4 linked regions of the Neurospora crassa OR74A genome follow. The protein of the gene in region 2 binds, or shares a complex with, the protein of the main gene of each other region. Links are inferred from orthologs where the notes say so. Each region holds a gene or a part of one and is shown on either strand. Other genes may lie near its edges. The genes, in order: NCU07710, NCU04063, NCU03029 and NCU04463.

The links.
Region 1: NCU04063 (region 2) and NCU07710 share a complex: the UniProt entries of both Saccharomyces cerevisiae proteins name them as parts of the SEA complex. The link is inferred for Neurospora crassa OR74A from reciprocal best matches to the Saccharomyces cerevisiae genes SEC13 and IML1.
Region 3: NCU04063 (region 2) and NCU03029 share a complex: the UniProt entries of both Saccharomyces cerevisiae proteins name them as parts of the SEA complex. The link is inferred for Neurospora crassa OR74A from reciprocal best matches to the Saccharomyces cerevisiae genes SEC13 and NPR2.
Region 4: NCU04063 (region 2) and NCU04463 share a complex: the UniProt entries of both Saccharomyces cerevisiae proteins name them as parts of the nuclear pore complex. The link is inferred for Neurospora crassa OR74A from reciprocal best matches to the Saccharomyces cerevisiae genes SEC13 and NUP170.

What each region holds. Positions count from the first base shown.
Region 1 is NC_026504.1:2,121,064-2,129,373, forward strand, and holds the start of NCU07710 (vacuolar membrane-associated protein iml-1), read right to left. Parts: upstream 5,362-8,310; 5' UTR 5,116-5,361; coding exon 4,561-5,115; intron 4,507-4,560; coding exon 1-4,506. Other genes in the region: NCU07709 (cation efflux system protein czcD), read left to right, coding at 7,337-7,397, 7,455-7,572, 7,619-7,955, 8,013-8,310. UniProt on the Saccharomyces cerevisiae protein: Component of the SEA complex which coats the vacuolar membrane and is involved in intracellular trafficking, autophagy, response to nitrogen starvation, and amino acid biogenesis.
Region 2 is NC_026506.1:2,619,122-2,627,021, reverse strand, and holds NCU04063 (protein transporter sec-13), read right to left. Parts: upstream 3,741-7,900; 5' UTR 3,519-3,740; coding exon 3,516-3,518; intron 3,422-3,515; coding exon 3,374-3,421; intron 3,306-3,373; coding exon 3,190-3,305; intron 3,122-3,189; coding exon 2,374-3,121; 3' UTR 2,080-2,373; downstream 1-2,079. Other genes in the region: NCU04064 (hypothetical protein), read left to right, coding at 41-207, 291-2,079; pex20 (peroxisome biogenesis factor 20), read left to right, coding at 4,655-4,774, 4,852-5,952; NCU04061 (hypothetical protein), read left to right, coding at 7,013-7,188, 7,270-7,651. UniProt on the Saccharomyces cerevisiae protein: Functions as a component of the nuclear pore complex (NPC) and the COPII coat. It is one of 5 proteins constituting the COPII coat, which is involved in anterograde (ER to Golgi) double-membrane transport vesicle formation.
Region 3 is NC_026501.1:8,386,620-8,394,906, reverse strand, and holds NCU03029 (hypothetical protein), read right to left. Parts: upstream 4,582-8,287; 5' UTR 4,301-4,581; coding exon 4,258-4,300; intron 4,124-4,257; coding exon 3,587-4,123; intron 3,517-3,586; coding exon 2,225-3,516; 3' UTR 2,053-2,224; downstream 1-2,052. Other genes in the region: NCU03028 (deubiquitination-protection protein dph1), read left to right, coding at 411-845, 911-1,771; cyt-18 (tyrosyl-tRNA synthetase), read right to left, coding at 4,968-6,732, 6,797-7,041; tca-13 (succinate dehydrogenase cytochrome b small subunit), read left to right, coding at 8,021-8,150, 8,245-8,262. UniProt on the Saccharomyces cerevisiae protein: Component of the SEA complex which coats the vacuolar membrane and is involved in intracellular trafficking, autophagy, response to nitrogen starvation, and amino acid biogenesis. Mediates inactivation of the TORC1 complex in response to amino acid starvation.
Region 4 is NC_026504.1:3,270,203-3,277,674, forward strand, and holds the end of NCU04463 (non-repetitive nucleoporin), read right to left. Parts: intron 7,408-7,472; coding exon 4,232-7,407; intron 4,176-4,231; coding exon 3,408-4,175; 3' UTR 2,938-3,407; downstream 1-2,937. Other genes in the region: NCU04464 (hypothetical protein), read left to right, coding at 1-115, 269-1,659. UniProt on the Saccharomyces cerevisiae protein: Functions as a component of the nuclear pore complex (NPC).

The sequences.
Region 1 (8,310 bases), on a different chromosome or scaffold from region 2:
ACGCTGGGCCGCCGTGCGGTTGCTATAGAGACGGTTGGCTAAGATCAGGATGTCGCCTTCGTCGGTGATTTCAGCAATGAGAGTACCGGAGCGGTGGATGAACTGCGTGTATTTAAAGTCCGGCTTGCCCCATGAGTACGACACGTCGACGGTATAGGGGAAGCTGGACGCTGGCTCCATGTCGAGAACAAAGTCAAACTTTCTCAGGAGAGCCCTCTGATAGAAGTGCCGCCCTGGCTGTGCTTGCGGAGTAAACGAATTGGGATCAAAGTAGGTGATGGGCTGTTGGTTTGGTGGCTGGACAGCCAGCTTGATCATGTACGGTCGGCGGAACGGGTTAATTTCCGTTATATCACAAGCTTCGTTGATAGGAACCTCAACGAGCCGGAGCCCGTACAAGGCTGCCTCGCGAGCCCATGCCTCAATAGCATCTTCGATCAACTTGGCTGTTACGTTCATCCAGTCGATCCGGATATGGTAACAATTGTCGGGGTTGTGAAGTCTGTCGTAATGCAAATCGACCACCTCGGGCCGGTAAGAGCGTTTTCGATGGTCAACATCGTATTTCATGACCTTACTCAGAACCACCCTGGGCTTCTTGCCACCCGCCATCATAGCTGCCGTTGGGGTAACCGTTCCAGAGGTGGGAGAGCTGTCTTCGTGGATAGATGTTGGTCTTGACATCGACACATTGGACCTTGGTGAATCCCGTACTTCCGAATGCGGTGTTGATGGGACAGACACTGGAACCCGCCTTGTGTTAAACCAGCCTGGAGGGTTGGGTTTCGCATAGTCGCTGCTGATCTGGTAGAAGTACTGGCCATCTCTGAAAGGATGTCGCCTCTCAACGTGCACGAAGAGTCCACCGCCATCCTTCCTCCCATCTTTGCTTTCATCCTTCGACTTATCATCTGAAGTGACCATGAGACGGTTACCAAGCTCTTCGGCTTCCTCTCTGTCCTCCAAGTCTTCGAAGTTCTCCAGGAGCCAAGTGGTCATGTCAGAGCCGATGAAGCAGTTGTAATGGAGGCGCAAATGCCAGCGCCGGTTTTGCATTCGAATGCCTCCATTTTCCACGGGCTGCTGGATAGCCTCTGCCAATGCTGCCAGGCTGAAGTTCTTCTTCGAAAATTGCTCTCTGCTCGTGACCAGCTGACCCTTCCTGTGCCCGCCTTCCAGGCCCTCCAACAACGGAAGCGTTTCCAGCTCGGCCGCAATAACTACGGATGGATCTTCTGTTTTGTAAACGATATCAAGGGGATTCATGTCCTTTTTGCGACGCGATGCTTGAAAGCTCCGTTCGCTCGCCGGGATATACCTGTGCTTCTGCCACATCTGCGCAAGCTTCCGAATGCCTTCGATGCGAATCTCTTCTTCACTGTCCCCGTACTGCGTCTTGGGGAAAAACGAGTGTCTGGCTGTCATTGGTATCAGGACGAACCTAGCGCGCCAAAACCTCAAATGTTCGGACAACTCGTCATTATGCCCTGCAACAAAGGCATCGACGTAATTCCAGTTCCGATCAGGCGTTGGGGCCACCATGTCATAAGAACGGGTTTTGTAACCGTGGTCAAGTAGAGTTCGTATCGCCGGTTTGTACAAGTAACGGTCATTGTACAGTCCCGCCGAGGCGATCGGCTTCCGGACAAAGATATTAACTTCAATTTCGGTGCCATTCACACACGACAGTTGGTGGATCGTGTTGCCGACCGACATGAAGATGCTTGTACCATCCTCTGCTGTGTGGTCGCGGGAGAATATGTCGGTAACCTTGAGTTGCTTCTGGCCAAAGGCTTTGGCAACAGCTGGGCCTACAACGACCTGGAATCCTTGGCAGAATCTGAGACTGATCATCTCGCGCAGCATCTCGTCGCGTGACTTGGGTTCCTCGGCCAGCTCATCATCAGCATTTTGCGAGACATTATACGGTTGACGGTGGTACTCTGACTCGAACTGTGCCTTGGTAGGGAAGTACTCTGTGGTTAGTGGAACGGCAGCGGGGGAGCACAAAGACTTCCATTTCATCACCCGCGTCTCGTTTGGCCTAGGAAACACATGTTGCCAACGACTGTACAACGTGGCAATATCGACCTTGTTGCTATCAGGGTTCGACGGGTTGACCAACGTCAGCCAAGGTGACAGCGCGGTTGTCGGCGATAAAGTTGACGGTAATTCCGGTACCGCTCCGGCCAAAAGCTTGTTATTATAAACCTTCTTCGCATCCTCAGCTCTGATTGCATCTGAATAGAAGAGATCGCGATTATCAGGAACGTAATCGGCCCGTAGTGTTGAGGCAAGCATCGAGCCTGATAGCATGTTGGCTGCAGGGTCAGTAGGAATCTGTTGCGACTTGATTGGCATCGGCCGGCTTGGAGTACCCTCAAAGTACTGATGGCTGGGCGCGAATGAGCCTGGTGTAGCGCCCCAAGGGGAGAAAACGGGAGTTCCACTCGCGAACATCTGGGGCGACATTGACCGGTTGATTGCTGCTTTGGCTGGAGTTGCAACAGTGCCCGCGTTCATCAAAGCCCTTGAAGATGCCAATGATCTATCAGCATTCACACTTTCAATGCTAAGTTCTGCCGTCGCAGCTTTGGGTGCGGCAATGCGAAAACCGGAGCTGCCAAGGCTGATCTGCTTCATGAACTTTGGAACTTTTGGAGTGATTGTTGGTGAACGCTTGGAGTTGAGTTTGTCGAAGTCGACCGTCTTACGGTTACGCGATTCAGGTTTGTCGGCATTGAAGCGCTGACTGGATCTATGCCCAGTCATAGTCATTTGTGAGGCACTCGTAGACGGCCTACGCTCAGTGTATGACGTCCCGAGAAGACTCGCGTCATCAGCATGATGTCGCCTGACGGAATCATCGTACTCCCGAATATGACTCGGAGGCGCCAATGTGTGGCGAAATGACGGCTGGCGCGCTCTCGAGTCGTCGTAGTCCTGCAATTGCTTCCAGAGTGACTTCTCCCCCAACTTTGCGTGCTTATCCGGGGCGAATTTCTGGAAACCGTACACGTGATCAAAGAGTGTTTCTGGGATGCGCAAGTTTTGTATGAAGACGTTGCCATCTTGATCGATAAACGGTTTCGGTACGTTGTTTGCCTGTAATGCCTTATGAGGAAAATAAGGATCCAGATGCAACGGCTTGGTTTCAATCTCATTGGTTTCCATGACGCTGCGCATTTGCAAGTCATACATGCGACATCTTATCAAGAAGTCGTCCCCTGACCGTGTTTTTGAAACATCAGAGACCGACAAAGCAATGCCATGGTATGACAGGGCTTCCTCGGACTCGCCTGTCCAGTAAGAAACATGTAGCCATTGCGGCAAAGCATAATTCCATTCATCTTGAGCCAAGCCAGAGCCAGCATAATCACCATGAAGAGTGATGTCGGTGCCTCTGCTTGGGGAATATGACCCCGCCATGCTGTTAAAGCTCCCAATCGTCGGCGCTGTTTGTTTAGGAGTACTGGAAAGACTCGGCGCTGTTTTTGCCTTGTGATGATGTGTCGGTTCTGTCGAGTACTCAGGGTTGCGATACCGAAACAGGGGCACGGAGTGGAGAGGAGCCTTGGGTATGCATATAAGATCAATACCAATCCCATTTCCAACCAAGGCTTCGGTGGTACGGCGCAGTGCGTCGTACTCGACTTCGAAAATCCCCGGACTAGGGCTTATGACGACAACAGAAATGCCGGTTCGCATCAAATCACGATCTATGTAATCGTGCGCAAACAGCGAGGTTGCCATGTTGATCGCCTCTAGGAAATTGCCATAGATGGCTCGTGACGCCTCAGCCGTTATCCTGTTCAAGGCTGCTTGCTGGTCGGCTGGGTCATCTGAAGAAGAAAAGGAGTGCATAGCCTTCTGATGGAAGGTGCTAATATCCCTTCGAAAGTAGTTAAACTCGCGCTTCAACTGGTAGAGGATCTTGGTCCACTCGCCGCTGCCCATTTCGCTCACAACAACGCGGTAGAAGTCCTTGTAAGGGCGACGATCGCCAGACGACTGGACACCAGTGTAGTAGTCATTTTGGACGTCCGGGTTGCCCAACTCGGTGGATATGCCTGTGTCATACTCAACTCGAGCAAAGAGAACAATACTGACAAGGTGCCTGACTTTAAGTGACGCCCATTTCTTGAACAGAGCTGGCAAAAAACCGTTCACAACCTTGTTGAACATGATCTCACCAGAGCCATCTGAATCAAAGTCCCACATTTCGCGCGCCATTTGGATGAAAAGCACGTATCGAGCAGACTCGCTTCGGAAGATGGGTTTTGTATTGTGGCCAAAGAATGCGGATGGCACCTTACGGCCCTCAACATAGACAGCGGTAACCTGAGCCTTGAGAGTGCCCATGAACAGAACCATTTGGCCCTTGTAGACAGTCTTCTCTGAAAGCTCACGAACAGCCAACTGCCACATGTCGGAGCGCGACATGTACTGGTCTCTAAAGCAAAGCTCGACATGCGAGGCCTCGATGGCTGGGTTATGATGATCAATCTATGTAGTTTAGTAGGAATCCTACGCGGCTACAAGTGAGGAGTGGGGGCGTACTGGGGTCAGGGTAACCTGCGAACCCTTCCTCATGCCGAAGACATCAGCAATGTGCTTTGCGACGTAGACTTCAACACTCGGGTAGCGGGCTTTGAGTTCCTTGGGCATGTCCTTGACGACAAAGATGTAACGCTGTTGACTTTCTGCAGCCTCTTTTGTGCGGTCCGGTGGAGGCTGTTTATGATGGTGATGATGATGGTGGTGGTGATGGTGATGAGAACCTTGCGCTTGCTTCTCCGCATCAGGTCGGAAGACGTCGATAGCCATGAGGCTGCCTGGGGTTGCCTCATCACCTATGAGATCAAGATTAAGCAAGACTTCATCGCGAGCAAAGGACTCGTTGACGGTAACGGTCCACCTCCTCTCGAAACGTGAACGTCTTGAGGATGAAGAGGGCCGGTCACGGATGGTCGAGTTACTAGAGACAGTGTCCGGGGACCGGGGCATATCCGGGATGCGCTCCAGGCTGTTTCTGCTGAACTGCCGGAGGTGCGACGACCAGTTGGGGGGCCTGACATGTCCCGGCACCCCCGAAGAGAAATTGCGCGACGCCATCAATGCCGTCTGACAGTAATCATCGGCTTGGTTCCATGCGTTGATGTCAGATGCTCAGGTGGAATGATTAGGAGGTCGATAACACGCCCTATTCCTAGCTCGCTGTCGGTGGTTGCGATCTCGAGGCCACCATGCCTACGAGACACATTCGAGAGGATCAAGAAAGAATATGTAAGACGGATATTGCCGAAAGTGTACGAAGTTTATTTCATCGTCTACATACATGCAGTGATTGGCACGATGTCGCCTTCAAAGACGAAGTCTGGTGGGAGTTGAAACGCAGCCTGAGAGAGAGACGGGGCGACGTCCGCACAGGAGCTCGGACCATCTGTGCTAGCTGCAGGTACGGTCAGCTGTAGAGCCCTGTAGAGGTAGGTACCTGCAGTGTACTGATGCTCTGACAGTTGGGATGCGGCAGAATTCAGTGTGCCCTCATTCACCGCCCTACGATGCCGAACGGCACTTTGGAGGCGCACGGGCCATATCATACATATGACATCGGAGGACTTCCAGCCTCTTCACCTACAATTCTACAAATCCAATTTCCCTCACTATCCTCCTCCCGTCCGTTCGGACCGCGACGGCCAATGTAAAGATTCTTATACCATGGTTAACCCAAGCGTCAAGCCACCTGCCCGCCAAAGTTACACGGCTGTCTGATGGTGGGAACTCTTCGTGCATCCGTGTGAAAGTCGTGAGGTGGCAGCGCCGCCGCCGTGCTCCGTAGCCTAAGCCCGTACGACATCAATGACCAGCCTCCAGCTGTTTGTCAGAGCCTCGTTGTCTCCCCTAAAAGACCCCTCTGAGATTATTCCGGTCTTAAAGCACACATCTTGCCCATGCTCTGCTGCCATCGGCCTTCTCATCAAGCGGTTCAAGTTAGAATAGTGGTCACCTATCACGACATCTCTTGCACAGGGTGCGCGCTTTCTACATGCCAGTAATGGGGGAGGAATCGTGGTCAATTCTTCTGCAAGGCGATAGAACTGGATTTGGTTCAACTTACCCAGTCACAAAGCGATCAAGACACAAACTGCAAGTCGGTTACAGCATCGACTGTGCCTGGGAGTCATTGGTTCAAAGCTCTATACTGTACCTCGCCAACGGTGTGAACTCTCATTGGGACCAGTGTCGACTTTGTTCGCTCTTGACGTCGAAGAGGGTACACTGTCCAACGTGCCATTGTCATCCACCTTGTTCTCTAGGCTGCTGGTCTAGCACCAACGAAGTGCTGCTCGACTTGATCATTAAGAATAGCATCGCCAGCCTGTCCAGTGGCCGCCTTACGTCGATGGATACCGACCGGCTTCCTACTTCCAAAGACCCCCCGGAAGGGAGAGGACCTTTTTGGCTCACGCTTCACGTGCAGGTCCGTCTGTGTCGCACCTGCTGTACCCAACTCGGTTAGAATGTACTTGCTCCCTTAAATCGAGCTGACCCGGGAAGGCGGGACGGTGCAAAAGCTCCTCTCTGGGTCTCAACTCGATCGCAATAGTCTCAGCGTCAACATTATATCTGGTATCTTCAAGTCGGTTTCCAGGCAATCTACGTAAACACCTATAACTGGCTTCCGACCGACCTCGACGTCTTCCTCCACTTGCACGTTAAGCAATGGCACCCAAAATTGGACAGAAGCAGAGGCTAGCCGCAACAATCGCCATATCCTCTGCCTTTTTTGTATCAGAACTTGCTGGTCTGTTCGCGTTTATTTACTTCTATCGCCACTTTGTCTCTTCGTTTTGATTTGTTCAAGTTTTCTTTTGTCAAAATGACAAGGGAACATATTGCTGACAACAACCTCACAGTTGCTTTCAAGACAGGAAGCTTGGCCCTTACGGCAGACGCATTTCACTATGTACTTCTCTAATGCGTACCCTGTGACCATCCTAACCCATGCTAATAGTTTGCCGGCCAGTTGAACGACCTGATTAGTTTTGCTGTCACCTTAACCGCCATTATTGTAAGTAGTCATTTTCATTCTTTCCCATGAGACTCCTCCTCTTGCAAATCTGTGTATCATCTAACCCGGTTCAGGCACTGACACTTTTCCTAGAAGACCGAAGGGACCGGCACACCTGTAGGGTTTTCCTTTGGATGGCAGCGCGCCCGCCTTCTGGGCGCCTTCTTCAATGGCGTCTTCTTACTTGCCCTCGGGACGAGCATCTTCCTCCAATCGATTGAACGTTTCATCACCGTTGAAAGAGTGGAGGACCCAAAATTGATGCTGATTATGGGATGTGTGGGATTCACACTCAACATTATCACAATCACATTTCTGCATGGTAGGTTGGTCGTGAATCTATGAGCCAGAAGACATAGATCTGACACTTCATTCGCAGAGCCACATGACCATATTAGTCACGGGCATTCTCTAGGGCATTCGCATGAACATGACAATGAAGTAGCTTTTAACTTCGGTACATGTTGTCGGGCGGATAGAGATACAGAGTCTGTAAGGTCAACTCAAGGTCCCCGATACATACTTGAGACGGACACTAATCAGTTGTGCTGAACAAAAGCCTTTCTACCATCACTTTCAGCATCGGCATTCCTCTCTTCCTGATATCCAGCAGCCTCGACGCCGCGATCTGGGCATGCTCGCCGCGCTCATTCACGCCATGGGCGATGCGATCAACAATCTCGGGGTCATCGTGGCCGCACTCCTGATCTGGCTACTCAAGTCCGAGGCTCGCTTTTATGCTGATCCCGGTGTTGGTGTGGGTATTGCTATCATGATCATACTGTCGTCTGTGCCCCTGATCAAGAACAGCGGCGAAATTCTTCTCGAAAGTGCTCCGAAGGGAGTAAGAACCGATGATATCAAGCACGACATTGAGAAGGTTTGTCAAATCCAAACGACGGTAAGAACAGCAACTGACTTTTCCTTCACGGATCAGGTTCCAGGAGTCGATTCGATCCACGAGCTGCACGTCTGGAGGCTCGATCAGAACAAGGCCATCGCCTCTGTCCACGTCGTTCTCACAGAAGATGGTATCGTGAATTTTATGGACAAAGCGAGGACCATCGGTGAGTGTCTTCACGCCTACGGGATCCATTCGGCCACTGTCCAACCGGAACTTTCGCCCGGATACGAAGAATACGAGCTTGTTCCGGCCAGTAAGGCATCCGCAACGCTAGCTACAGCCTTACCGGATGGAGGCGACGGTCTTGTGGACGAGAATGAGTCAATTACGA
Region 2 (7,900 bases):
TATGCCAGAACTTCATCATACACTGGCAACTCCGTAGAAGATGTCCAGATGGACTCTAGCACTGAGACTTAGGCGCATCACCGTCGCTTTACCAAAATTTTCGCACCAGGCGTCCCATAGAAGATTCTACAGTAGCAGTCCCCCGTTTGAGCCTTCGATAGAACGCTATACTGTTCCATGCGCCTCTTCTGGTGAAATTACCGTCAGGTAGGTGGTCAACATAACATCAACAGTCTCCTTGGGAGCTGTGAGTGACGAAGGCCAATTTTAGACTGATATCTGTGGCTCAGTCTGTACAATGTCGCTGACCGGCCGCCAACCGATCCTTTAATCATCTGGATCCCGCCCTTTGCTGCTCGGGACGAGACTGACCCGAACTATCAACTCCCATCATGGCTTCACACATACTCGGCCGCTGTCATTCACTATAGATGGTCTGGCTTATACGACGACAGACCACAGCCAAAACTCAAGCCAAAGATTGAAGAGCCCGATTTTGACGATGAAGGATATCAATCGAGCGAGACGCCTAATAGCAAAGAAGAAGAGCGACTACCCAAGGAAGAGGAAGAAGATATCAGCATAACTCCCCTTCACTGGCCCACCCCTATCCACGACGTTCTCTTTGGCTACTCCTGGATCATTCAAAACCTCCAACCAAGATACCCCAAACGCAAAGACGTCTACATCTGCGGCTCCTACCTTGGCGCCAGTCTGGCCGCCGGGCTGGCTCTCACCGAGTCGTACCCACACGCGCGCATGGCCGTACGCGGTCTCCTCGCCTACAACGGCATCTACGACTGGACCACTTTCTTGCCTGACCACCCGATCCACCGGCCCAAGGGCGACGACCGCATCCTTATCGAGGAGCAGCTGCACAAGCTGAACCGCGACCTCGACAAAGATGCAGGACCGGCTGCCACCTCACCCATCATTGCCCATTATCAGCGTCGGCTCGAAGATCTCTTTGGCTCGCCGTCGGGACTGTTTGACAGCTTTGCTAGCGCTTGTCTGTTTTTCCACACGGCGGGACTTTTTGTTCCGACGACTTTTGATGAGAAGTATGTTCCTGAATGGCTTTTTCCGCCACCTCCAGGGCCATTGATTACCGGTGCCGGTACCGGCGCCAATGGTGTCAGCAGCGGCGACATCAACGTCCCCGCGGACGTCCCCAGCGAACCCCACGACCCATTGACTTCCCCCTCTACTCCCCCTCCTCACCAACCTCCGGCTCCGTCGCCCCTCCCAGCCAGCCAAAACCCCACCGACGACCTCGATCCCGACAACTCGGAGCACTCGGAGCACTACCGTATGCACATGTCGATGATCAACGACGCCGAAGGCGAGCCGGACGAGGTAGCGGCCGAAGACATGCTCCAACAAACTCTCAAGGTAGAGATTCTACCTGGCAAGTTCCCACGTAAGAGCTATGTGCATTTCCCGCCGAGGCACTCCATGCTTAAGCTGCCGGATACGTTATTGTTGTATGAGACGCCGTCGGCGGAGTTGCCGTTCAAGTGTGATGCTTTGGCGAAGATTGGGTCGTCGGAGGGGGGGAAGGATGATGGGGTTGTTGATGCCGCGGCCCGGAACAGAAATCAAAAGGGACTTAGTGGTGTTCAGAAGCAGAAGCAGAAGAAGATAAAGGGGGAGGAAGAAGAAGAAGAAGAAGAAGGCCAGGGAGAGAAATACGAAGAGGGCGACTCAGCACAAGGCGAAGCAGAGGAAAAGAAGAAACCCCGCCCTCGTCTCAAAACGCGAAAACACCGCAAACCCCCGGTCGCCATCACCGCTGGCGAGAACAGCTTCCGCACGCAAGCGTACGAACTGGCGCTGCTGATGCAGCGGAGCATTGAGATGTTGGAACTCAAAGAGCGGCGGAAGTGGGACGAGGATTACTTGATCGACCTCCACCACTGGGAGCTGGAGGCGGCGAGGAGGGTCAAGGTGGCGGACGTGGGCGTGGTGGACGATCAGGACATGGCGATTGGCGATTTGGAAGGTGTTGGGGATCTGGATGAGAGGGGAAGGGAGATTGTGTTGGGATGGTTGGAAGAGAAGATGGATAAGGCGCGTTGATGACTTGGGAGGTGGGATGTACTGGGTCAAATGTACTCCCCGTAAGCCCGAGGTAATGTGATAGTGTAAGATAAAACTCGGTATGATCTCTTCATTGTCCCGAGCGGTTCATGTGAAGCCAACCTGGATATGTTCTTGTGAAACCGAAGGTAAGCCTGCTCCTTTTCGCTGGCCTCCCTTATTTATTACCCGATAACGCCCACTCTGGATGATGAGTAGATATCCTACCTACCAATATTATGCTAACGCTCGCCACCCATCATCATCATAACGTGACCGAATTCCCATGTGATTTTACTCCTCAATGGTCTTGACGTTCTCCCACTCGCCCTTAAGGTTCTCCTTCCATAGTGTGACCTTGTTGTTGTCACTGCTGGCGGCCAGCACGTTTCCGCTGAGCGACCAGCTAACGCGCCAGACGGCCGCATCAAAGTTGAGAACCTTGCACTTCCACTCGCCCGGGTTCGCCGCGTCACTCGTCCAGATGCGCACCGTCTTGTCCTGCGAGGCGCTTGCGATATAGCTCTTCTGAAGCACAGTCGGGCTCCACGCAACGTCGCGCACCCAATCTGTATGACCCGCCAGGGGCTCGCGCTCGAGCTTGTATCCGTTGGTCGCGGGGTCGAAGGTCCAGATCTTGAGCAGGTTGTCGGAACCGCCAGTCACGAAGCGTCTGTTGCCCGTCGAGCCGGGGCCGGGGTTGCTGCTGACGATGCTGCCGGGGGTGGTGGCGGGGGCCCACGAGACCGAGTTGACGCCCAGGCCATGGGCGTGGAAGATGTTGTGCTCCCAGCTGTTATCCTTGAATTCGAGAACGCTGACGTTGCCGTCCGAAGAGGCGCAGGCCAAGAGGCATCCGGCTTCGTGGGGAGACCAGGACACGATGTTGACGCTAGCCTTGTGTAGGGCGAAGTCGAAGATGCGCTGCCAGCTGCCGGCTTGCTCGCGCCAAATGAGAACCTTGCCGTCGTAGCCTGCCGAGGCGAGGATGTTGCCGTACTTGGGGTGCGCCCATGCTACGGACCAAACTGCGCCATCGTGTCTGTCGGAAGAAGGGAGGTTAACCCATTGTCCATATTGTTTGGTGACTGTAGCCCATCGCAAACATACCCCTTCAATGTCTCAACAAGTCGCTGTGATTCGCCCTCGATCTCGAAGATCTTGATGGTGCGATCCGAGGAGCATGTCGCTAACCTCCTGCCGTAGTAGTCGAGAACTGCATCGTGCTGCGAGGGTCGGTTAGAAACAGAGGGATGGTTGTCGGGAAACGTCGAGGGGGCGATGTTCAGCGTACAATCATATCATCGTGGCCAGAGTTGGCGATAACCTGTGCGCCTGCGGTCTGTCATTGTCGCGATAGCTTCATGTTAGTGGATAGGTAGCCAAGTAAGGGGGAGGGACGCCGCCGGCAGCTTTGGGGGTGTAAGAGGACGTACCATGTTGATTAATTATGGAGTATTGAAGATTGTGGAAAAGACAAATAGATTTGTATGGAGTTGTATTTGCGTCCTTTGGGTGATGAATGAATTCAGACTGGAGTTATAAAGTACACTACTCAGAGTAGTAGAAAGGAAAAAGGGCCGTCGTTGGGGATTCAGTTGCTGTTAAGTTGGATCACCACGGACGGGCATTGGGAATGGAAGCTGCAAGCTACAGGCAGTGGACGCCCAGGCGACACGATAGGTGAACCCGTCTTGCTGCGCTGGAGCTTCCACTTGACGCTTGCGCAGTGATCCCTGTCGAGCGATGTGGTCCAGCTGGCAAGAAGTCAAGGTGAGCAAGGTGAGCAAGGTGAGTGGAGCCTTTGTCGGTTTCCTCGTAGGCTCACCGTGGTGTGACGTTATTGTAACCAGGTCGGAGGCTCGAAGTGGACTCTTGTTGAGACAACCAAGGTGGGGCAGGTGAGGCAGGGGCCCGTTGACGACCCCACGCGTCGCCTGGGCTCTCCCGTCCCGCTGTAAAAGTCCACTGAACATGCCGTGCACATGATAGCGTGTGAGCGCATGGCTACCCCGACGGGAATTTCGCCAGTGCCGTGGCAGCGTTCACTCCCGTCACAAAAAGTTGGGATGGAATCTCACTCAACCAGACCTGACCATTTTGACCCTTCTTCCAGAATTACTTGTTCAAAATCAGCGACGCTTTTTGTTTGCTTGCTAAAAGGATTTCTTTACACACAGTAATCAGTCGCGTCCTTTTCGTGGTATTAGGTCCGGCGTTGTTTACTCTTTTTTTTCTCGTTTCCATCTTCCCCCCTCTCCAACTACTTTTCTCCAAATACTTAGCGTTGAAGACTTGAGATACCGGCGGGTTCGGTGACTACTATCGCGCTGTTCAAAGAACCTCGGCTTCTACTTTCGCGCCACTAATCTACATTACTTACAACTTACAACTCTCCTTTCGCTCACTCATCCAAGTCTTCCTCGCTCTACAATAATTATATACTCTCTTCAAGGACATTTCGTTCCTCACTCTTTATTTATAAAACCTTCTACTTTTGTAATTTCTTTCTCGAAACTTACCGTCACCCGCGCTTCTCGCCTTTTTGCTTCCAACAAGTCAAACCTCGCTCAACATGTCTGACAGCATGTGCGGCCCGTCCAACGGTGCCAAGAACCTTCTTGCGCACGCTGATCGCGACCGCACTCTTCACCAGGACCGCCTGGTCAACTCGCCCAACTCGGCTGCCGGTGCTGTATGATATGATCGCTTTCTTTTGTTTTGTCTTGTCGTAGAATATCCAGCGTAACTCGGTGCTAACAACCCATCCAGTCCTTCAGAAACCGCCCCTCCTTCGCTGCTGATGGTGCCTTTGAGACCTTTCAGCAAGCCCCTATGCTCGACGCCCCGGGTCCTTCCCTCGGCCTTGCGAATAATACGTTCCTGAACAACCCAGGCGTCCCGGCTTTTCATGCTGGTCCAGCGCCTGGTGTCTTTGGTCATGCGGTCGGAGGTGCGCCGGCTACGGCCAGTCCCATGCACTCCTCCCGTGCCGCTGCCCACGGCTGGGTCGACCAGTTCGCCAGCATGCAGCTCCGTCAGGACACAGCTCACGCGGCCCCGGCCATGTCACCTCAAGCCATGCCGGCAGCCATGTCTACTGCAACCCACAACTCCATGATGGGCTTGCAGGACGACCATATGGCCTACAACACTCGCCAGTTCGGCGGTATGGGAATGGGTGTGGGTACGGGAATGGGAATGGGAATGGGATTGTCCATGGACGATCCTTTTGTCATGCATGGCACAGCCACGAACAACTTCACTCATCAGCAGCCTCAGTTCGGCCTCAACGACCACGTCGAGTCGGCACTTGACATCGAAGCCTTTAACAAAGCCTTTGGCGAGTACGACGAGTCTTCCTTTGAGCAAGAACTTGCTGAGTGGGCCGAGAAGGAAAAGGCCGAGAAGGCTCAGCAAGCTCAGCAGGAGTTTGAGGCTGCCGAGGCCGAGTGGATGGCGCAGCACGGTCCGAGCGCCGAGAACAACACCAAAGTCGGCCCCCCCACCGACGAGGAAATGGCCACTATCGATGCTGATCTGGAGAACCTCGCTGAAGAGATGGAAGCCAAGGAAGAAGCCGAGGCTCGTCGTCGCGAGGGCAACGAGGAGCTGGCCAAGGCAGCCAACGCCATTTTGACCTCGGTCGCCGACAACCAGTCCGAGAAATTTCAAAAGTCGACTTTCCTGGATTTGATGCGTCGCATCGGCAACAGAGAGGTCGAGGTCGACGGTGATAAGCTTGTCGATGTGGCGACTGGCGAGCAGGTTAGCACTAGCCCTTCCGACTTTGGCCCCAACGACGATGTCTCTGGCTCTTTGGATGCGAACGACAAGGGCATAGCTTCCGCTGAGCCTGCTTCTTCCGCTTAAGTTTTCGGCACCTCAAAGTCGAGGATACCGTGTTTCGACCTTGGCTCACTGCTGGTTAAATCGAATCACTGTATGGGGACTGGGACGACCAGTTTGTTATCATTGCAGGCGCGACATCGTATTGTTACATGATTTCTCACTTTTGTTACGGCTTTATTACGGTTTAGGGGACATCGACACGATGTCGTGTCGAGCATTCGATTTTGTTGCTGCGCATTTCCGAGCATGGACTGGTTTCCAAGGGACGTATTTTCACATTGCTGGGATAGAAGGAAAGGGTTTACATGAATATGGAACTGTTTGGTACGAAAAGGATTTGCTTCAGTCATGGCTTGGGTCAGGTTCCGATACCAAGGGTTTGGGCATGGCGTTCAAGAAGGCCACAGGAGGCTAGGCAGGCGCATGGTTCATACTTTCTCTCACTACTTGTTACATGTCAGCATTGTTTCGGAGTATTATTACTATTACACCGGCGTAATAGGCATTTGTTATTGTACTATAATTATTCTCACAACAACAAGCAGGAGGCTTATCATTCTCATATTAGCGTGGATTCACATAACTGATACTGACACGTGTGAATACCTCGGACTGGAATTTTGGTTACTGATTTTGCTTCTCGTCGAGTCGCCATTCCCGGCCAAGTGAGCGGAGGGGCATGGAACTCGTGGGGTCCCGTGTGCCGACTGTCCAGTCGGGATGCCGCCGTGCGGGGGTGGGGCTTCCCCGGACGGGATCGCCATTCGGCCACGGGTGGGATGCTGGAATGATGCCATGCCGGGACCCCATAGCGTGGCATTTAAACGACCGCCATTATTTGTCATCCGTATTGTCACCTTCGTAATGCTTACTCATGAGAGAATCACGTCGATGAAGCTATTCGGACACCATATTTGACTTCAACTTGACCCTAACATAGTTCTCACCTATTTACTTCAGTTCACATCCGAGTTGACGCAGTACCCTAAAATTCAATTTAGAATCAACCCCGACCAGCTCACCCCAAACCCATTCAGCCAGAGACTCTAGACTCTAAACTCCTAAAACAAACAACAACAACATGCCCTCTCAAAGACCAACTTACAAATCCCCCCTAGAAGGCTACGAAAATGCCCCTCCCCTCCCCACCGAAAAGGCCGAAGACGGCAAGAGCCTCCTCAACAACCAAACCGGCGTGCTCAGCAGCGCCTACGAAAAGTTTCCCGAGCCTCTAGATAACGGGCGACGAGGTGCCTTGTACGAGCCTATACCCCCCTCGTTGCCTTTTCTTTCCCTCTTTCCCTTCTCCCTTTGTAAGTTCACTAACACTCCCCAAAGCGACGTCCACATCTATCACCTCCCCAACCACCCCGCCCAAGCCCGCTACGCTGCCGAGCTGCACTCCCGCATCAGACACGAGTTCCCCGAGTTACGCATCTACACCTTTTGGAGCCAACCCGTCGGTCCTCACCCGATTGGCATGTTTGAAGTGAACATCTTTACGCCGGCGCAGCTTGGTGCCTTTGTGGGCTGGTTGGCGGTCTGGAGAGGACCGTTGAGCGTGTTGATTCATCCGAATACGACGGAGAAGACCATTAGTGAGGGCGGAGAGATCAGTGAGGCGGAGAAGGAGGCGAGGAATCATACGGACAAAGCGATTTGGATGGGGGAGAAGGTGGTGCTGAATACGGATATGTTTTGGGAGGTTATGGATCGTTGAGCATCAAGGGGATTCATTTTCGAAGTAGGGAAGAAGGAGGATACCCTGGGTAGAGAACGGTTGGGTACCTATGTGATCTCTATATCAGAGAGTGATGAGATAAGATGCCTTCTCTACCGGGAAGTTTTTGGGTTGGAGATGAAAGCGTCAATGGGAGGGAAATGTTTTGAAAGGATGACAAAAACCTTGATTCGACCACTCATTGTCTGCGATCAGTTATCGTGTCACTGAGTGAATGAACCGGGTGAT
Region 3 (8,287 bases), on a different chromosome or scaffold from region 2:
CTAAAAAGGCAAGAACCTCGGTGAACACTACACTACCTAGTATACCTTAATGACGGCTTGTAGTGGGGTCTGCTGCCTGCCGTGGAGGGGCTCTTAATGCCATGCCACCCACCTGCCACTGTTGGCGGCAGCGCTTATCGGCCTCCGCCTGTGACCTTCCAACATTACAACAACTCAATTACTTTGGTTCCCAACACAACCCTTTTCCGTAGCATCACCATTCCTCAACTTTCACCAGCACACGAAGCTATCGTAATTCCATACGAACGACTTTGCAGCAGGCTTTCACATAATCCCATCACAAAGTGCTGAACTCGAACGTGGGGCGATCGGAGCTCCCCTGAGACCAACGTCATCATCCACGACCGCCATTAACCGTTTCATTGCCGAATCGTAAAGCGATAGAAATCATGGCTGAGGCTTCAAATACTGGCGGCGATGGCCAGATTACCTTCAAAGTAAAATGCTCAGGCGACAAGAACCACACAGTCACCATTGCCGAGTCTGCGACCGTCCTTCAGCTCAAGACCCTGTTAGCGGGGGAGGAATACGAGAACATCTCGCCGGAGCAGCAACGCCTCATCTACTCCGGAAAGGTCATGAAGGACGATGAAGTTCTTAGTTTCTACAAGATCAAGCACATGAACACAGTGCACATGGTTAAGCGTCCAGCCAGCGCCGCGACAGCCAGCAGTGGCTCAACCTCGACACCCGCTCAGCCCGCGATACCTCAGAACATGGCTGCCGGCACTCCCTCGAATAACCTTTTAGCTGGCCTCACAGGCGCTCGCTTTGCCGGTCAGGTGCCGCTACCAAGCCGAGACCTGTTTGGGCCGGACGGAGGAGTACGCCACCCCTTTCTCGGCCCCCTGGACCCTTAACATAGCTGTTTACTAATGATGTTTTATAGATGGGCGCGCCTCCTAGCGAGGATGAAATCGCGAACATGCTCTCGAACCCAGCGATGGCCCAGGTCATGGCCGAGGCGTTCAACAACCCCGCCGTCATCGACCAGATGATTGCCTCCAACCCGATGTTGGCCAACATGCCCGCTGATCGCGCTCGCGAGCTTCTCAACTCTCCGATGATGCGCAACATGATGACGAACCCGGAGGCACTTCGCATGGCGGCACGCATGCGTAGGATGATGGGCGGAGGCGCCAACGCCTTTCCAGCGCCCGGGGTAACGGACAACACTCCGAACGCGACGACCGGTGCCGGTAATAACAACGCCAATGCCGATGCGCAGAACCCGTTCGCCATGTTTCTTCCATTTGGTGTTCCTCCGGCGGGCGCTCCCCCAGCAGGTAATCCCTTTGCCGCGCTCTTTGGAAACCCCGCGGGGTCTTCGCCTGCGTCTACCGGAGCTTCGACCGAGAGTGCCAGGAGCGGGGATGCCGCATCTGCTCCGGCTACTGGCGCCACTTCGGGGTCTGGGCAGCAAGCAGATCCGTTGGCATCTTTGTTCGGAGCGCTTGGAGGTGCTGGTCAGCCTGGTCAGGCTGGTGCCGCGAACCCTTTTGGTTTGCCCCCTATCTCGCCTGAGGCCTTGCAGCAGATGATGCAGGCATTTGGTGGCGGTGGTTTGGGTGGTTTTGGCGGAAATCCCGTTGCTCCTCCCGACAACAGGCCGCCAGAGGAGAGGTATGCTGAGCAGCTGCGTCAACTCAACGATATGGGTTTCTTCGATTTTGATCGGAACGTTGCTGCACTACGCCGCAGCGGTGGTAGCGTACAGGGTGCTATCGAACATCTTCTGGGCGGTTCTTAACTTAAATTTCTTTACTAGACGGTGCAGAGATGTGGACCGGAGATTGACAGTTATCTGCTGTTCCTCAAGGATACGGCGGTATTCACAATGAACGACAGAATGTCGAGGGGATAGTGGATTGAAGGATGTCCAGGGAGTGCAGTGTTATCTCCTGGCGAGGTCATTGTTGGGCCGTGCTAGATATATTTTAATCAAATATCTAGCGATAATGGTTGCTCAGGAGGACGATAGACAGTCCAGCACAGAGACGATGCTCAAAACAACACCCCTTCAGCGGGTGTCCTCACGTAAGGAGGTTTACATGTTTACAGTTTAGCGATCTTTATCAAACATGTCTCCTCTTGCTTGAATCAACAAGGTTCTTTTGTCCTCTAAGAAGACGAGTTCGCATACAGTAGCCGGGCTAACTATCAACACCACTAATCAACTCTTATTTGCATGCTATCATTCCCTCTACCGATAAAGCACCGTCAAATCCCCAGCCGGCACCGGAAAGTTCCTCAATTTATCCATAATCTCCGCGTCCGTCATGTTCCTCTCCGTCATGATCTGATCAAAACAATGTCGTCCATCCATATACTTTTGCAACGGATCCCCACTAGCCTTCATCATCATCGCCATCTTCTTGCTGTTCGACCCCTTCCCCCCCGGACCCCCATGACTCCCGGGTTCACGATAGGTATCATAATGTCCGCCCGGCACCGCCACTTTATGTTCCCTCCCCATTTCCCCTTCGCCATACCCCCTCCCACTTTTCCCTTTGCCTGTGCCAGTTCCGGTGTCGGATGGCGAAACAGGTCTAGCCAACCCCGTAGCTAGCGCAGCCAGATACTGTTTCGAGATAACATACTTGTGCACCCTGTACAAACACCCCTTGATGACGCCAAATTGAACTAAGCGGCGAACGTCCACGTACCGTAGGACGTCGAAGCCGGAATCCATATGGCCCTTGAGCCATTCGGCCACGGTTTTGCCGACGCAGAAGGTAGTCATTAGGCGGATTAGCATGTAGTTGGATATGCGGTATCCGTTGGGTGGTGGGGGCTTGTTAGACGGTGGGGAGGAGGAGGAGTGGATGTTGGAGGAAGGGTTGCGGGGGGAGGTGGAGGGCTTTCGTTCGTGGACGGGGGAGAGGTGGTGTTGGGCGTAAGGGCTGGGATCGCGGTCGGAACCACCTCCTGGGCCAAGGCCAAAGGGGGAGAGGTGGCTGTGGCGTGTGCTGGCAGAGGTGGAGAGGTTGGAGGGATTGTGGTTGTGGAAAGTGGTGCTTCCTGACACAGAACGGAGACGGTGGTAGTTGTCGGAGGAAGAAGAAGAAGAAGAAGGTCCGGCGCCGGTGCCGGTGTTGTTGCTGCTGCTGGGAGACGGATCGATAGGTCCGACGCAGACGTAGTTAGCACATTCGTCGACCATGCCGCCTACGTTGGCGATGAAGTCGTGGATGCCCGGGCGAGGGGCGTAGCACGCGCCGAACAAGAACATGTCTAGGAGCAGGATAGTGTCGTAGTAGAGCAAGTGGCGGAGGGCGAGCTGGGTCAGCTCGAGGGAGACGCCGGAGGCCAGAGCAATGCGGCGCACGTCGGAAACGCCATCGATATGAGCGACGACGCGCTGCAGGGTTAGATCCCAGGTTGGGTCGACGACGTCGGCGAACTTCATCTTGGCGACGGGGACGTGCCAGCCTTTGACTTCAGGGGGGTTGACGTGGTGAGGAAAGAGTTTCATGTTGATTGTGTTAGCGTCGTCTGTTTTGAAACGGTCAGCATTTTTTGTAACTAAGGTGATGAAGGGGGGTGAATAGGTAGGGAGATATACCAATGGGAATCATGCACTCTCCATAGTTATTCAGATCCTCCTTCACAATCTCCAGCAACGATTCTATCGGCCGCCGCATACTCACCATTTCATTCCCGTCCCCATCCACCCAACGGCCCCCGCCATTGCCATACCCATGAACCGCGACCGCTCCGCCCCTCGTGGCCGCGTCCTGGCTCAGGTAGCCGTCCTGCTTCTCCATCTCGGCAAAGGTGGCCGCCAGCCTCCTTACGACGCGTTCATAGGGGATCTGGTCCACCACATCGCAACTGATGACGAGCCCAAAGTTGAAAATGAACTCGTTCCGGTCGTACCGCGGGTCCGGAATGGAGACGGGGTATCCCAGGATGACGTACTTGCCGTCCGGGTCATTGACGGTGATGAAGCGGTTGCAGAAGGCCTTGCGCGGGATGATGTACTCCTGGAGCACGCTGAAGTCGAAGAGACATGGTTTCCTGTTGAGGGGACCATTGGTGCCTTCTGGAAGTGGAACTGGCACGATTGAGCCCGGTGGACTTTGTGCGACGATTTTGGTTCCTGAGTTAGGGAAAAGTGCCACTGGTTAGCTTGAGATTCACTACACTTCGTCTTTGGGCTGTCTTGGCCAGACCCAATAAAAATGGGTGGGCAAATGACTTTGATGAGTGACGGGCAAGGCAGGCTATATGTACCCTCTTTTGGAAAGAACCTGGCATAGAAGATTGCTTGAATCATGATTTAAATGATTGTTGTCGAAACCCAGGGTCTTCTTGGTGTTGGGAAAAGCGACTTTGGATTTGACGCCGAGACGAGTAATATGGTCTCATCGGATGTTACCGGCGCTCATTTCTATCGGTTGGTTCTACCGAGTAGCGTATAGATGTCATCCGAATCTGAAGTAGAATGAAATTGCTTTTGAGAACAATGATCAGACACTTTGCAAACCAAAGATGACGTTAGCATAGTAGTCGTCGCCGTGGTCGGTTTGCCAGAAGTTGTCACGTATTGTGTTTTGTCTTGGGAAAGGTGCCTTGGTGCTACGAGGTCAATGGCTGCTAGTGTGTACCTCACATATAACCCTAACCCCTCCCACAAAAACAGAGAACACATAACCCCTTTTCGACTTCAGCATCGGAGGACCCAGGAATGAACGCTAACTATCCGTGTATTTCAAAATGTTTGCTTGAGAAACATCATGATCATTCTGGAAATACCATATTGTCGTTTGTGTTTTTCATATTGCGGGGCTCCACGGTATTGACTATGATGTCCAAAAATCGGGTATTCTCATGCTTCTATCTTACAAAATATGTATGGGGAGTAACGCTTTTGTCCAACCAATCCAACCTTTATGCCTTTTCTCTGTGCCACCCTACCATGCGAATAGAATCTTACACATTCTCTACCACTTATACGGATCCCTATCATCTTGAGTCTGCTTCTTCACCCCATCTCCCCGCACAGAGGGTTTTTCGTCCATCATGCCATCAATCGTTTTTACTGAGGCAATCATCTCCTGCTTAAGCTTGGTCTCCATATCCTTCTTTTGCCTGCTCTTTTCCTCAGGGAAGATAATCTGCTGGCCCTGCTGCTTCTCCTGCGAACTCTTTTGCAGCTCGTTCACAGCATTCTTAGCCTCTTCAGGGGTCAACTTCTTCTCTTTGAGGTTCTTCATAATCTCATTCAGTTTCCTGACAGCGCCGGTAAAGCTCTGTCCGGGGTACGTCTGGCCCGAAGCAGCATACTCGACGTCGCTGACCATCTGGATTACACGCACGTTGTGCTTGCCCTTGCGGAGGATTAGCAGGTTGCCGTTAATCAGGTAGCGCTGGGTCTCGCCGGGGAACCACAGCTTGACGGGCATAAAAGAGATGAGGTCCGGGTTCATGGTGACGTTCTCGCCGCCGGCTCTGTGGGCTCCGCCGACGTAGCAGCCCTGGGCAGCCGCGAGCTTGTGGCCCTCGGTGGTGCTGCTGGCGAGACCGGCGGCGTAGAGGATGCGGCCGATAGACTTGCCCATGATGAGCGACTCGGGGAGAATCATGTCGATACGGGGCGCGTTGTTGAGGGTGACAGGCTGATCTGAAATCGTCTTGTACTGATCGCCACCGGTGGCTGCGTCCTTGGCACGAGAGACTTGGGGAATGGTCATCTGGCCGGTATACATCATACGATGCTGGTCCTCGGCGGCGCTGGCCTCCTGTTTACCGTGCACCAGCGTCACAACCTCACGCGCAAGGGTATGTTGCGCGACACGCTTGCTAGGGTCTTTGATGTGCTCCTCCATAGTCTTGGTGATTTCGCTGATGGGCATGAAAGTGAAGAGCTTGAGGAGATTCTCAACCTCTTGGTCGGACCGGCGGACAAAGTAACCATAGAAATCGAAGACGGAGGTCTGATAGGGGTCAAGCCAAATGGCGTTACCCGCACTCTTACCAAACTTGGCACCGGATGAATCGGTCAAGAGAGGGACGGTGAAGCCGACGCATTCGTCAAGGGCAGTCTTGGGCGTAACATATTTGCGCTCCTGCGGGTCGGGCTCGGATTCTCGGGCGGCCTTGACGACCTCGAGACCAGATATGATGTTGCCGTACTGATCAGAACCTCCAATCTGCATCTGAACTCCCTGCTGGTAGAACAACTCGAACCAATCCCAGCCCTGCATGATGGGGTAGGTGAACTCGGCAAAAGACACGCCGTCTCCCTGGGTCATCTTGTTCTTGACGGTATCGCGCGACAGCATGGGGCCGATGCGCAAGGCGTGACCTACCCTCCTCAGGACCTCGAGCATGGGCTGCTTGTTCCACCAATGGTTGTTGTTGACGATGCCTCGCTTCCGCGCCCAATCGGCTTCGTAACCACGCGCTCGCATCTGAGTGTCCACGTTCTCCCACAGCTTTTTGAGTTGGTAGTGAATCTTAGTCATGTTCATTGTCGCATCGCTGCTGCTCAAATGATCTCTGCTTTTTAGCCTGCCAGTCGGGTCTCCAATCTTTGCCGTCGAGCCTCCAATGAGGGTGAATGCCTTGTATCCTTCCAAGTACATCCAAAAGAGCGGCATCAGGGGGAGTAGATGGCCGACGTGTAATGATGGTGCGGTAGGATCGATGCCGACATATGCCCCAATCCGCCTCGTCCTCATAAGCTCGGCGATGTGCTCTTTGGTGCTGGTAGAAGAATCGTGTTAGTCATGTTCCTGTGCGCATCGAAAGGCCAGTTGTCTAAACTTACCCAGCTGTATCCTTGACATAGCCTCTCTCCTCAAACAGGTCCCATGTATTCTGCTTCTTGCCCTTCTTGATGGCCTCTGCCCTCGCCTGCCAGTTTTCCTCGGCCTCATTGATCTTGGCCGTGTACTTTGGTCCGAATTCGCGCCTGAGTCCTCTTCGTTGGAGAATGAAGCATGATGGGTTAGCCGCAGCATACTTGGCGATACTCCCGCCGGAGCGTATTAGGGCTTTTGTGCGAAGCAGCATTTGATGTGATGTTTGGCTGCGTATCGCTCAACGGCTAGAAGAAGGAAGGAGAGGGAACTGGGCGCAATCCGTAGCGCAACCCGAAGCGCCGATTCCGGCCCTCTTTTTGCGATCCGATCAACCGGAATTGGGTCCCTTGCTGGGCAATTGCAAGAGTTTGGTTATGGTTCCAAGGGCGCGGTAGTAGATTGGTCGGGATGCCCAGGCGGTACAGTAGGGTTTCCGGCTGAAGATCCGGGGTCGCGTGGTGTGAGCGGATCAGTCGACTGGTGTTGAGGTAGGTTGGGAGTGTACAAGCGGCGATGATAGCTTCGGCCAGTCATTAAGGTACCGGCGAACTACGGCGCCATCGAAAAAAAATAATGGCCCCTCGTCCCAACCCGGGTGCAGCGAAGGTCTCGATAGGTATCTTATCGCCCCAACTAACGCGCTGCCGTACCTATCATTACGCGCTAGCATCTCCGACTGCGAAATAATTTCTGGAACGGCGGAGGGGAGCTTGGGCCACCCCTGTTCTTGCCGGGTCGGGTTTGGCGGGGGGACAGGGCCCTTGGATTGCATGTGCAACCCACTGGATGCAGCAAGATCCGGTACGTAGTGAGAGGTACCAATCTCAAAGCTACGGCCACGCCGGGAACAATGGGATTTTCCACGCCGAGCCACGACCGGCACACGCTGCCGCTGACATCTTCTATGCTGCGATTGGCCGAGTATTGCCGAGGGATAAGCTACATCAGGACTCGCAGCTCGGCACCAGTCCGTTCCACTCCGGAGCCCGCCCGTCCCGTCACTCCCAGCGCTCCTAGCGATCCACGGCCACGATCCTGTCCTGAACCAACCGAAAGACCCGTGCGACGATATCTCCTGCGAAGACCGCCCTCCCGTTCTCGAAAGTCCAATTGGTTGTCCGCCATCACCACCACGCTTCGACCACATCACCACCCAACACCCGTCATCACCACCACAATCACCAGAAACAATGGCTTCCGTCGCCCGTTCCTCTGCCCTCCTCAAGCAGGTTGCGGCCCAGCAGTCCGTTGCTGCCAACGGTCTCCGTGTTGCCGCCTTCCACACCACCTCCCGCAAGAGCTTGCTCCCCCCTCCTCCTCGTACGTAATCGCATACACGCACACTCGGACCTTAATACAGGTTCAACGTATGTTGCATGGATCGGTATTTGTGCTAACACTATGAGGGGGACAGAGCGCATTGAGGGTACAGGTACGAACAACAACCCAACAGCTAT
Region 4 (7,472 bases), on a different chromosome or scaffold from region 2:
ACACCTGCTGCGAATCCCATGGGTGTTCGCTCGCCCAAAGAAGACGGTAGCGTGATCTCAAAACAAGACGTTTCAGAGGCGCAGGCAAACTTCAGCAAGTTAATGTCAGAAGCAGGTACGATCAGTGAGAGGAGTGCATCTTCTCAGGCTGGCTCTGAGAAGTCGACGTCACTGAATCTCAGTCATCAAAACATGTCAAGGGATTCGAAAGCATCAATCCGGGAACCATTTGTGAATGATGAGTCGAGAGTACGGTCACCTGTATCAGAATTACGTTCACAACACCCACACTCAAGCTCGGAAGCGGAATCTCAGCGTGACAATTCCGCAAGACGAATTTCAGGTGTTCGTTACGTGAAGGCTCCAACGAATGCGTCGTCAAAAGAAAGGCGCCGTTCCATGGCAGTATCACCGCATGGCAGATCTCCAGCATCATCAAACAGCAACTCACCCACCGCAGCCCTCAGAGACACCACCCCCAAACCGAGTTCACATGCCTCACATTCGTCATCAAAGCCCTCCATACGCTCCCATACATCACGCAGGCTGGACCTCAACCCATTATCCCCCGGCTCTCGCGCCCCCTCCCACCACTCGCTGCGCTATGCGGCCTCCAGACACTCAAGCCCGCCCCAGTCTCCTACACGATCCCATCACTCCCAGATTCCAAGCTCCCCGAACCGCCACAGTCGCAGCTACAGCCGTAGCCATAGCAATCCTACCTCAAGGCACTCAAGCCCCCCTCAGTCACCTACACCGCCTCATCAGTCCCCGATTCCACACTTTTCAGGTCGTCAGAGCTATGGCCGTCCTACTTCACGACACTCCCCAAGATCACGCTCCATCGCAGGGTCAGGGGTATCTTCGATGCCCCCATCGCCGACAGTGACGGATTTCGCACCTATCTCTGCAATTTCCCACCCGCTTCGCTCTCCAGCTCCACCTGGCTTTTCTCGTTCCTCGCTTTCTCCCGCTTACAGGTCGGGTGGGTTTAAGGCGGCGTTGAGTCCACAACCAGATGAGCAGGATGAACGGAAAGGGTCGCGCCAATCATCATCGAGATATTCGAGACACTCTGGTGAGAAATCACCTTCAGTAGTGTCTGTGTCGGTTGTGGAGCTGCTAAGTTTAGAGAAGGAGCAAGATGGTGATGTTGGCATGGGGGAGCCAATGTCTCTTTTGGATCATGAGGAGTACGAGGAGAGTGAGAAGTGCGGGGAAAGACAGGGCAGTGAGGATGTGATGCTGGATGAGAATGAGGTTCAGCGGCGGGGTCGAAGAAGTGTCTCTGCAAATTCACAACAACAACGAGGTATGGATCTTGCTGAACATGAAGAAGAATCTGTGGAAATGGGACATGACCATGACAGCCACGGCGACCAGGATCCAGAATCAGAACCAGAACCAGAACAAGCACCAGAAGACTACTACACATCTTACTCACCTGTCGCTCCTGCTTCCATTACCAACCCTATACCATCCTCCCCCAACCTTTCGGGCCACTCATCGAACCTCTCACCAAAATCTCCCTATCATCCTCGCAAATACATACCAATTCAGGTACCCAAGGAGAACCGACCGCACCAAGCTAGTGTCTGTAGTGTCTCCGACAGCACTGATTCTGGGATTGGTGGCATAGGCGAGGCTAAGAAAGGGTGAAGATGAGGATGAGGGTGAGTTTGATGGGTTGGAAGTTGGTTAGTGGTGCTTGTGTGAGGTTGGGTGTCAGCGGAAGATGAGTGAGTGAAGTGGTTGGCAATGTTTGACTTGTTTGGAAACCTTTGCGGTGATGGTGGGACAAAGCGAGAAGATTTGCTAGTAATCAAGGAGAGAATTGGTAGTAGTTAGTGATGGAGTAGATGGGGAAGGAGTAATGGAAAGAGTGAACGAGAACAGGGAAGGGATGCAGACGATTAAGACCATACATGACAAGAGAAAAGGGAACAAAAAGGTAGCGGTGCTAGTAGTAAGTTTATTTGAAACCATCTTCCAACATCTTCTGTCACTATCGTTACAGTAGCCGTAGAGTTAGCCAGCAGGGGCGTACGTATCTCCTTCCTTCCTTCCTTCCTGCCATCCCTCCCAAGTCTGAACCTGCCCACTGCCCCATGCCATCCTCTGCCAGCAGCCTCCTCGTCACTTATCTCCAATTCCATCCAGTCGATAGGGGTACATATGGTACCCCCTCAGATCTTGTTTCTACTAACAAACCCAAGAAAAAAGCACGGTTAGCGCAATGGTCTAGCGCGCCACTTGGGTTGAGAAACAGAGTTGGAATCCCCGTGGACTCACAGTCAAAGACCGAGTTTCAGAGGGAATCGGAACATGAATCACCAGATAAAGACCCGGGCTCGAATCACGGACCGTGCAATTTATTTACCTCCTTTTTTCTCCTCTCCCCTCTCCGCGTCCATAATTTTTTTTTCTTTCTTTCTCTTACCTTGATTGCTGGTCTTTCGTTAGAAGCGCAGCTCTTTTCCCCTACTCAAACTCGTTGAAGGTTGAGGGACTTGGGTTTTGGACGTACACGGTCTTCAGCATTGACACCCCCGGTTCCTGCTTTTGATCTGGTTGGAGACTGAAGGGACTCTCAAAGGAGATTGTCGAGTAGAGCTTGATCTCAGTTAGCCATCCATGGATGCAGGCGTGTTTTCGTGCCATGCCTCTGTACTGGCACCTAGAACTATTCGAAAGAAGTCCCCGTTCTCTTTGCTTCCGCTTTTGATGATTCAAGGCCAGACGTAAAAGCGCAAAACCACCCTCTCGAGCACGAGTGTTTATCCTGAGAGATCAAGTGAAAAGGGGTAAAAGTGGAGACCGACCAGCATTTCACACACACATCGACAATATCAACTCAACCATCTTCATGTACCAAGACGCAAATGAGAAGCCAAAGCAAGCAGGCCCGGGTGGTCTAAAGTACCAGAGAGATGAAACGTGGAGAAAAAAGTCACATAAATACTTTATGTACAGTACACATTAACCAAACCAACCAACCTACCCACACACCAAAGCCATTGGTACCAATCTACTCGACAAAATGCTAGAAAGAGGACCACGGCGGATAGTATCGAAAACACCTACTTCCAAGGTCAATCAACAATGTATCGCTTTCTCTTAATTCTGGTTTCCTTCTCTTCGCCACGCCATCTTCATAGCGATATTTTCAAGGCCCCGACACAAAAGAGGCAGCAATATTCAATATTCGTAAACATAACTCACAGCAACTCCCTCGCTTCCATGTCTCAGGTAAACCCCCTCTTCCACTTCCCCGGGATGCTACCCATCATTGAATCCTCCCCTGCCGCACCACAACTCTCATCCGGAATTTCCTCCACCGTGGTCTTATACGACGTCCGCTTCTTCTTATTCATGGGCGTCTTGGGAGTCGTTGGATTCACCTGGTCCTACCTGGTGCTGAACAACAGACTGCCCTGGGCCTCGGCCTGCGACAGCATCTCCACCTTCCTCTTCAGTTCTCTCGTGTCCCTCCTGGTATCCGTGATGCTCGCCGCCTGAGCGGGGTCCCTGGTGCCGGCCGCAATCGCAACCAACGCCTCCTCGGCCCTCGTCAACAGCTCAGCCACCCAGGTGGTGATGGCGCCGTCGCCGTTCTTACCCGATGCCGAACCGCGGTGCTCGATCTCGCGGATCCACGAGTCGACGACGCAGTTGATCCACTGTACTACCAACTTCCTGTGCTTGCCAACGAAGGGCGCCTCCTGAGCGTCAAACATGTTCTCCAGCACGCGGGCGATCAGGGCATGAGGAACGCCCAGCTGCAGGAAGGCAGCGACAGGCCAGCAAGGGTCAGCACCGATCGAGGCGTCCTGGTGGTTGTTGATGGCGTAGGCGCAGACCATGGGGAGAAGAGTGTCGACGGGGAAGATGAGGCTGTCGAGGGAGGTGCGGTGGGCAATGGACTGGATCTGGGAGACAACAGCCTCGTAAGGCATAGGGGGTGGAACTTCAAGAGCCTCGACACCCTCGGGCAATGCCTCGCCTGCCTCAATGAGGCGCCACACCTCTTGCTTCTGCTCGGTCTCAAAGTGGATCTGGTTGATGAGATTCTCCCACGTCTCTTTGATGGTGTGCGGGTTCTGGTAGTCCGCGGCGTTGTAGATGAGCAGGCAAAGGTCGTAGTATCCGGCCTGATCGGCGAAATCGTTGAAGAGCTACATGGTACAGATTAGCAACTAAAATAGCATCATACTTTTAGGGATTGACTCACAGTAGAAAGGCCCTGGACAGGACCATCCAGAACCTTCTCGATGTCAGGGAGCTTCTCAGGTACTATGCGAGGATCGGCCCTTAATCTCTCAAGCAAATCGTCCTGGATGTGGGCAATTTCCAGAAGCTCAGTCACTTCGTGGTTGAGAAGCTGCTGCTGCTGGCGACTCACACCGACAGTGGTGACGCTGGCGTTGGCCTTTGCTCTGCTCAACAAGGTAATGCGTTCCTTGATGCCAAGGGGGAAGTCTGACTTGGCGAGCTCAGCCTGCACTTGAGCAGCCTCGAAGAAGCGGCTGCGTTGTGTGTAGAACCGGCAAAGAAGATCGGCGTGCTGAGCATCAACCGCAGCGAGTCTCTGCAGGTACGTTACGACATGAGGAGAGTCGATGGCCAACATGCGGTCGGTCCAACCCTTCTCAATGTACCAGTCGTACAAATCAAGGTGGAAGACCTCGTCGTCTGAGCTATTGACGACGCTGTATGCCTCCGCCCGCTTGGTGGCAGCAAGAGTTGGCCTACCGTCAACAACATCGGGCTCTGAGGCCGACTCAATCTCTAGCCGGTCAAGGACCTCATGTATCAAGGAATAGCAACTTTGCCGGTCCTTGAAAGCCTTTTCACGGGGATCGTTAGCCGGCTTGCCTTCGTTGAACCAAGCAAGGGCCGCGTTTCCACGGTCCTTCTCTCGCGCAACTATCAAGCACAGCTGGATAGCACCAGCGTAATACTTCAAATTGATGTACTGTTCGACCGCGTTGCGCAGGTTGGTCATGGTCAGGCTTCCCGCGACCTGGGAAAACAATCGCAAGCTCTCCGCAAGCAAGGTGCGCATCAGGTTAGGATTGCCCGATGACTCGCTGGCCCGCTGCAGTTGTTCTTGAGCCTTGAAAATGACAACGTCATCAGGGGAGCAGAAAGTGCCGCATCTTCTCCTGAGTGCATCGGCAACGGTCTCGACATTGGCTCCGTTGGCAATGTTGCGGTTAACAATAGCCTTCACCAGAACCTTGGCGAGCTCCTTTCCAGAGTCCTGAGAGAACAAAGCTTCATAGGTAAGGTTTTGCAGCTGTTGCTTGGACGAATCATCTAGGCGCATGAAGATGTCGGTTACCCGCTCATCGAACAGCATCAAGACGAAAGAGATGCCCTCAGACACGCTGTCCATAAGCTGACGCAGAGCGTGGAGAGACTGGTGCTCCAGCTGCAAAGCGATCTCCTCTTGTCTGCTAGAAACCCGATCGGAGGGTCCGGCCAGGCCCTGGATGAGACTTTTGTTTTCCTCAAGGAATCTCCTTAGTCGTTGCACACTTTCCTGTACCGTCATGAGCTTGGAGATGGGAATCGCCGAGCCAACAGTGAACCCGCCCGAAGCGCTATCCGTGGCTATCTCAATGACCTTGGACTTCCATAGGGTGCGGGCGAGGCGCGCAAGATAGAGCACCAGCGCATCGTGGCGAGCCGAGAGCTGTACGTTGTCCTCCGGTGCCTGCAAAACATCTGCGTCCGCAAGCTTGGGCTGACCACCGTAGTTGATGAAGATGGACCGCGCCCTGTCCTCAGTAAGAGGATCCACAGCACGACGGGCGTCTCCTCCTTGACCACATGCTACCGCCAAGGCAGCCGCGACCATTTCGACCCTGCCGTAGATGGCCGTAAACGTTTTCACCTTGCTGTCCAAATCCTCATCGCCAGATGCGACACGAATCGCATTAGCGAAGATGTCAACAAACCTCCTGCGGCGAACGATATGGATACCGGTGTTGGTGAGCACAGCGAATTCGCTTGGGGTATGATCGAACTGAACAGCTAGCTCGTTGCCAAATCCGAGCGGTTGTTTTGCAGCCGCAAAAGGGTTGCCAGTAAGACCGATGGAAAGAACTCGGCTTCCGTCACCCAAGGGGATGAAAGTACCTTGCTCAACATATCTGAGTACAGCGCTCTGCTTAAGTCTGCCGACATCGGGGGCTGATACAAAGAGCAGATCCGTGCGACTCTCTTTGGGTCGAACCGCGTCGAAGAAATAACCCGGAGGAAAACGTTCACCAAGGCAACTTTCCGAAAGTAAGCCAGACATTTGATCTTGAGCTGCTGCAGGTGCAGGTGCATATGCAACTGCAGTGTTGATCTCGTTGCGGAGGGGAACCTGCTGGTCTTCGCTCGTAGGAGGAAACTTGATGTATTGGACCTGCATGCTCTGAGGAGCAAGGCTGGTTGAGGCGCTCAGCATGTAGGATGCCGCGCTCGTCGCAGTAAGGAACAAACGGCATCCGGTGTTGGTGAGTGCCATGAGGTGAGACTTTGAGGCTTCTTGTGCCGAGATGGCGCTAAGAGAGACGATTCTCACTCTCTCGTTAAGCAAAGGGTTTCTGTTCAAGTCAACCATATGCGTCATGTCACTAAGGCACGAGACCTTGTTCTTTTCGATGACTTTTGTCAGTTTCCCAGAGGGCTCCATGAAGTATGTTCGAATGGTGGACTTGTCCGAGAGCGAGTATAGGAGTTTCCGAGTATCATCGACAACCAGCTGAACAAGGTGTTCCTGATCACGGTGGCCCAAGAAGCCCATTGGCACTGGGAGGTTAGGAACAACTGATGTCCAGCCAGGGTGTGTGTGGTTGACCTTGGCACATCTGCTAGAGAACCAGCGCTCCTCCTGCTGGTAAAGGAGCTCGTAGATGTCGGTATCGGTATAACCGCCAAAGAAGATACGGCCGTTCGAGGTACCGATGATTAAGCTGACATCGGTGCTTCCGCGATGTACTGCCATTTTTGTTTGGTAGAGGGCGACGGTCTTCGATCCCGAAGGGGTAGGTGTCGCGGATACGCCCAGCAAAACTATCTCGGTGCCCGTAGCAACGACTAGAATATGGGTGATGTTACTAACGAACACGCCAGGTTTGGGGGGCACTAGGGCAACCGCGGTGATGGTGGTGGTGGCATCCTCGTAGCCGATAAGTTCGGGGTTTGGGTGGGTATAGTCCCAGAGAAAGAGGGAGCTGTCAATAGCAGCCCACGCGTAGTTGATGTCGGCAAATAGGCCGAGTTGCGTGTTGACCTCTCCCCTGTTTAACCGCTCAAAGACTTGATCGGGGATGGGATACATATGAGTCTTCTTGAACGGGGCGCCGGGCGCGTCATCAGTCCTGTACATGTCATAGTCCGAGGAGGAGCCAGCTATTTGGGAGAGACATGGTTAGCCAGTCCTACCAGGTACCATGAGGGATGGAAACCTAAACAGG